Linked DNA regions of Daphnia pulex. The protein of the gene in region 2 purifies or fractionates together with the protein of the main gene of each other region. This does not show direct contact. Links are inferred from orthologs where the notes say so. Each region holds a gene or a part of one and is shown on either strand. Other genes may lie near its edges. The genes, in order: cytoplasmic FMR1-interacting protein-like and probable protein BRICK1-B.

What was found.
Region 1: the proteins of probable protein BRICK1-B (region 2) and cytoplasmic FMR1-interacting protein-like purify together in Drosophila melanogaster (affinity purification with western blotting; 4 studies listed by BioGRID). This does not show direct contact. The link is inferred for Daphnia pulex from reciprocal best matches to the Drosophila melanogaster genes HSPC300 and Cyfip.

What each region holds. Positions count from the first base shown.
Region 1 is NC_060025.1:3,992,584-3,996,612, reverse strand, and holds the end of cytoplasmic FMR1-interacting protein-like, read right to left. Parts: intron 4,017-4,029; coding exon 3,846-4,016; intron 3,775-3,845; coding exon 3,692-3,774; intron 3,452-3,691; coding exon 3,383-3,451; intron 3,167-3,382; coding exon 3,093-3,166; intron 3,024-3,092; coding exon 2,850-3,023; intron 2,780-2,849; coding exon 2,551-2,779; intron 2,493-2,550; coding exon 1,947-2,492; intron 1,878-1,946; coding exon 1,708-1,877; intron 1,617-1,707; coding exon 1,200-1,616; intron 1,128-1,199; coding exon 782-1,127; 3' UTR 565-781; downstream 1-564. Other genes in the region: WD repeat-containing protein 55 homolog, read left to right, coding at 1-548. UniProt on the Drosophila melanogaster protein: Plays a role in guidance and morphology of central and peripheral axons and in synaptic morphology. Also required for formation of cell membrane protrusions and for bristle development.
Region 2 is NC_060018.1:1,420,850-1,423,364, reverse strand, and holds probable protein BRICK1-B, read right to left. Parts: upstream 1,268-2,515; 5' UTR 1,246-1,267; coding exon 1,131-1,245; intron 1,062-1,130; coding exon 979-1,061; intron 910-978; coding exon 883-909; 3' UTR 781-882; downstream 1-780. Other genes in the region: SLIT-ROBO Rho GTPase-activating protein 1-like, read left to right, coding at 1,961-2,105.

The DNA.
Region 1 (4,029 bases), on a different chromosome or scaffold from region 2:
ACATCTTTGATTGGAAAGCATTTGGATACCACAGTGACGCATTTGGGGATCATCCATCAGCGATCAACTGCATGATTCCCATCATGGACAACATCGTTATTACTGGTTGTGATGATGGGAAAATCCGTGCCATTAGTCTATTCCCACATAGGTTCTTGGGGGTAGTAGGTCACCACAAATTTCCTATTGAGCGTTTAGACATTTCAACGTGTGGTCACTACATAGCATCTACATCCCACGACGGACGCGTGCGGTTTTGGAATATTTCCTACTTTGAGGATCCCAATTTAAAGTTGATGGAGTCGACCACGAAGAAATCTGTCCGCAACAAAAAACGTTCGTTACGCAAAGAGAAATTAGGATTTCAGCTACCGTCTTCTAAGAGACGGAACAAAGGAGATTTTTTCGCGGGACTTGCCGAACCTGAGCCTGGACCTGCCGAAGCTGCCGAACCTGAAGCCGAATCTGATTCTGATGCAGCATCTGATTCTGACGCTGAATCTGCTTCTGAAGCAGAGTCGGAAGTAAGTTCAGACAATGATGAATAACCTACATTTTAACATCTTTACGTGAATGGTGTATTCAAGAAGTCGGGACTAATACAATCGCAACGGGCAACGTCTAACTGATCTAAGGCATATAGAAATTATGGTGAAAACATCGTTGCAATGAAGGTTTCTTTAAAGGATGTAAAGTGATTGGGAAATGATTTCATAATATTTCGTAACCTGAATGAAATTAGATAAGACAAAACAAGTAATGTATAGACGAATTAAAATGCTCAGTGCTGTTCTAGCGTCAAGTTTGCAATTATCCCAGAAGTGTTGGCTACATTCATGGACTGACGAAGTAGTTGGTCAGGTCGATAATAATGACCCTGATTCACTGCAAGAGAGTGATGTATGGGAGGCTGAAAACAACGCACATGCTCCACCGGTTGAGAATCTACATCACCCGAGCTCGTTTTTAAATATTTGTTTAGCGTAGCGAAGACTTGTGAATTCAAGACTTGAAAGCGGCGAATTCGATCAACCAATCGCTTTAGTTGAATACCCTTCACAGTTTCGTCTTTGTTATCGACGCGTTGTACGCGCAAAATATGATAACAGAAATCCAGTGCCTCGAATCTAACGACAGAACGGAAAATCAATTAGGCAGCCCTGTTTTAAAAATTATTTTTGAAAAAGTAAGATCAAAACCTTCGTTGTTGTCCAAGCAAGGCAATCATAGTGCATCCAGCCCAGTGAAGTCCTTCGCCGAAAAGCTGTTCAACGGTAAATTCGTTTTCGCCAACAGGAATGCAATACACAAACTGCAAAGCTGACCATAGTCGGTGAAATTCTGTACACTCGTCGACCGTTAGGACGCCATTGACAGGAACAGGACCCGTCCAAATTGGATCGTCTAAAAAGGTGCGGATGCGATTGAGCACCATTTCGAAGACAGAAAGACCACAGCAAAGACGTTCTCTGGTTAAAAGATCTCCCTCCCGTGCAATCAAGGTTTGCTTGGCGGTGCCCAGCTTTTCTATGTTGGCGACAATTTGCAATGCCGCATACTTGTTCTCCAGTTTTTTCTGCTTGGCTTCCAATTTTTCGCCCTCTTTAACGAACGGTCTGTACGTTTCAATCAAAACCATTAAACGAAAGGAATCGTTAGGGGGAGCTAAAGCTACTATAAATGATGGAAAGGAAAAATAATACATACCTTGGAAGAATATTTTGAAAAGGCGCTGCCTGAAGTAGATCGCAAACTTCCTCCTGTGACATTGCTTGTTCAATCAGAAGACAAAATATCAGCGCGTTCCCGAATTCTCGGAAATTATGAAATAATTCCGTCCTCGCATCAGGGTATTGAACAATGTCATTCAGTTGGGCCTGTAAAGATAAGAAAAAATACATAATTAATAATTGTTTCTCGGTTAGGAGAAGCTATTTAAATTCTACCTGATAATATCCTAAGACACCAGTTGATCCGTAATCGTAACGAGGCATTTTGCACTGTTTTGGCATCGCCTGCATTAGGGTTTTGGTGAATTGTAAAATGTTTCCCTGTACTAACGATTTGATTATCTTGAGGATCTCTTCCATGACTACGGCGATGCCCTGGTAACCCAGAAGATTTGAAATAGCCTTAAAATGTGGTGCACCCACAAATCCGGAATATTGATTGAAGATGTTTCCATTCGCGATGTTGAGCGCCTTACTGCCCCAAAGATAATGGTAAGGCGTTTGAGGTGGTTTATCTCGGTGAACAGGCTGACTGAAAAGTAGGTCTCGGCACTTGATGAAGCGCCCTGTTGCGGCATTATAGCAATAAGTGGGTAAGAAATCGTAGTTGAGTTCCCAGAAGACGTGTAGCGTCACTCGGCCATAGGGTGCCAGAACGTTATGATTGGCTTCTCTCCACATAGCGTCGAAATCATCCATCGCAAGGTTACTGCTCAACAATTTGTGAGTTAATCGGTTCACGTCTAGGAGACCGCTTAATTCCTGTCATTGAGACTGTGTTACATCCAATTGGACAAAGTTGCTCATTTTAATTACTTACTACTACACCGGTGATATCTCCACCTTCAAAACGTGCAACCGATAGCTCGAGTGCCTTAAGAAGTGCAGCGTTAACTCTTTGAGATATTAATCGATTTAAATCAATTGAACGTCCCAACAACTGAACGTGGCGTTGTTTCATCAGAGTTTCGTAACGATTGGCAGGAGGGTAGGTAAAGCGCGTACCTAATGCGGCACACTCAGCACGAAATCGTTTGTCCAGCATGATGCTAAGGATGTTAGGACGCACGTTATTAACGAAAAGTTAGCAATGTTTAGCAATCAATGTGCAATGCTTACCTGCCAGCAAGGTGTTTGTAGTAGGCGAAAATTTGTTCGCTCAGCTTATAGACGAACTGATCGAAACACAGATTGACTTCAGCTTCAACTTCGTCGTACAAAAACTGTTTGCGGAAAACGGTCAGCGCATAATGAGCCGAATCGTTATAGAGATCAAGGGGGAAAAGTACGCACCTGGTAAACACAAATCAAACATCAAACTTTAAATTTAACAGAAAAATCGCATTTAGAGTTTGAACTCACTCCATCATAGAAGGCTCCTTCGTACGCAAAATATGATCAGTCAGGATCCAGGGCATCGACATGTCGATAGGAAACTAAAAAGAAAGAGACGAAAAAACATGTAGTAAAATCATGTTGAAATTTTTTTTAATTTAACTACAAGACTACAAATTTAACTGTTAAATAACAAGCGATTTTGCGTACATGCAGGCCATGCTGGGACCTTAGTTTAATTCAAGCATATATCTACTCAAGTCAGAAGCATACGACATCATGCTGAGGAAGTTTCTCAACAAGGTGACAGCTTATACCTGAATCCTTTTCTCCAGTGTGACCACGTCTTTGCACTCCTCGTTGTGTTGATGTTTCACGCAACATTTCTGAATTTTCGACATGACAATGACCGATATTTAAAGCGAAGGAAAGAAAGACGCGACAGAGAAAAAGAATAATAAAATTTAGCACACGCCATACTACTTACAACCTCTTTCAGGTAAAGTAAAGTAGACTGGCAAGTGCTTGCATTGCCATTTTTCCATAAACCAAAGAGCCAAGCCTTTCCCAGCCACCGAATTTCGCACTGACAGAAATCCAGATCAGAAACAGCTTCATATTCTTACCTGAATCCTTTTGCCCATTGTCATCTCAAGATAAAATTCTCGATACCAAAGTTGTGAAAGGTCGCACGATTGTTGCAGTGTTTCTGCGAGAAAAGAAAAACAAATGTTAGGAAAAAGTATGTTCAGTAAAAATCGAAGGTTGAATATAAAATACCGTTGAAATTGAGCAAATAGTTCCAGAAAAAAGAATTTTTATGAAATTGGTCGATTGCCATAAGGTATGATCCATCAATGTCTTTACGTAGCGTTCGCTTTCCACCAGATTTGTCAGCTATTAACGACTCTAGCATAGTGCGAACCATGTAAAGTTGGGTCGAAGAAGGTCCTGTAAAATAAAG
Region 2 (2,515 bases):
CCCAGGCGTGTGCAAGCGTTTCGTCCCCAATCGGTCGAATTCCGCTTTCTCCCTCGTTCCGCTCATAATCACATTTCAACGCCGATTCACGGTCAGTCGGCTGACGGCCAACGCTTTTGTTTCGCTGATTTATACTTTGTTTGGAAGCTTGCGTAATGACGCGACGGGTTTACTTCCCAGGATACCTGTTAAAAAGTACAACTCAATCCATGTTCAGGCGATATTTCGTCGTTCCAACTTTTTGACCACACGGCGTATTCCGCTGCCTTAGATATTCGCCAGTTTTTTGGTCTCCCTCTCCTGACCAAAGTATCGTGTGCTCCATAATAACTATTTGTGGTTGAATGAGTACGTTGGTGGGGCACCGCAGAAAATGACAGGGACCACTTCTGAGGTATAGACGTCATTCATGCGAGACATTTTAAAGGCCAACATCAATTTCGCTTTCGTTATTGAAGTGAGTGAAAAAATTATCTGGGATCTTTGAATCTTGTAGAAAGGGGAACACTTTGTTGACCATGTATGACTAGCATTTTGAGTAGTTCCTAATGATAAGAGGAGTGGAAAATTAAACCAGTTTCTTGGACTTTGAAAAAAAATCTAAACAAGTTGGACTTGTTTTGATTTCACGATAGTAGCACATTTTTGTCATTCCCAGAATCAAGAAGTATTTTGCATTCCACAGTAGTAGTTAACCTAACACTATAATAAGTGCAAAGAAGGAGTGATACAAAGAATCTTTAAAGAGTCTTTTCATTACAGTAATAATGAATCAATTCATCAAGTGATGCACTGTCTATTCAACTAATGCGACCAAATATGTGTAAAAAAAAGGGCTTAGAGTAAAAGGGAAGGCAAATTTGTACTGTGTTTTGGGAAGCTTCATGTCAGGGTGTCGCCTTTCGTTACCTACAATGGACGAATGATGAAAATGGTAAATTAAATAATCATGATCACATTTATATTGAAAAATATTACTCTGGCTTCCAAGTATTCAATTTTTCTTTCTAGTCTGGTGATTTTTTCGTTGAGCACTGCTAGTCGTCCTCGGCAAGACATATCTGTGTGGGCATGTGCAAGGAAACGGGTTTTACGATGAAACTAAAATTTGTCAGTTTGTAGTGTCCTACCAAAAGAATTGAGAAAATCGGTAATCTTTTTAATGCTGCTGGTGATGACTTCAATGTATTCTCTGTTGGCCCAATCTTGCTGGGTTTGTTTTTGAAGGGTTTGTTTCGTCGACATGTTTTCCCAACTTTGTTTGTGTTGTGAACTGTCAAATCAGCTCCATTAGCTACGCTTCACCATCGCAATCGTACGGAAATTGAAAATACGATTAAAACAGATGAAAAATACAATTAATAAATCGAGAATAATTTAAAATTTTCAAAACAAGTATTAAAATCCGGCCAACACCTTTAGATTTTATGAAAACGATTAAAACACAAAGTAATCAGAAGGCATGTTGCTGAGTACAGCCGCTAGGTGACGCGAGCGTAGCCCTGTTATTGAAAATCTCCATTGAGCCCGAACGGCTGCAGCTGGGCAAGGAAGGAGGAGCATTGTGTGTGGAGGTGGGACGACGCGATAGGGGTAAGTCAAAGTGAAATGTGCCTTGCTTGCGTTAGTTTGGATTTTCAACCGTCTCGTTCAACTTGCCGCCTCTTTTCGATCTCTCCGTTTGACGTTATAGTGTTTGACTCGAAAAGCGACGAGGCGTTCTTGGCACGACAGAAAAAAGTAACCGAAAAGTTGGACTCTCTATCAAGATGTCAGGGTGGGGCGTTTGATCTCACTCCCCCACACACAAAAATCAGAGAGGAGAAAAGAATAAAAAGCTTCTGCCAGTGTGTCGTCTGTATGTGCTGCTGTGCCGTGTAAGAAGTTGGCGTCAGAGAGACTTCCCCATCTCTCTCCATCTTTGGCCGTGTGTGCTGCTAGTCTCTTCATTACGTGTGAAATGTCGGCCAACAAAATCGTCCTCAACATTTCGGCGCCGGTCTCATCTGCTGTCCAACAACAAACGGTCGTCCCGCCAGAGAGTGCCAAGAAAATGGCACGCAAAGACAAAGAGTTTCTGTGGGAACTCGACTCACAAGTGAAAGGTACTATCTCACTTTTTTCTGATTATTATTAGATTCTACATCGTGTGTGGTTGATTTGGATTGTATATATTGATATGTTTTCACTCATTGACGTGCATTTATGATCACAAACCGCGAATCCCCTAGAGTGCCGAAATGCAAAGGGCGAATAGCAACAGTCGCTCTCGTACATATTATATAGGAAATGAGTCGAGTCTCTGAGTTGGGAAGAAGTTTAGACGCAATAAGGTAGAAGGGCTTTCTGCGGTCGGAAGCCACCGGAAGCATTCGGTTGCTGTTTTCCTTATCACGGTCTACGAGTCGTGTTCAAGGTGATGCTCGTTATCACACGTTTCGTCGTCGTCAAAAGCAAAATAAAAACAGATTATCCGTTACTTTGTATAAACTACTAGCTAGGAATCATTGGCAAC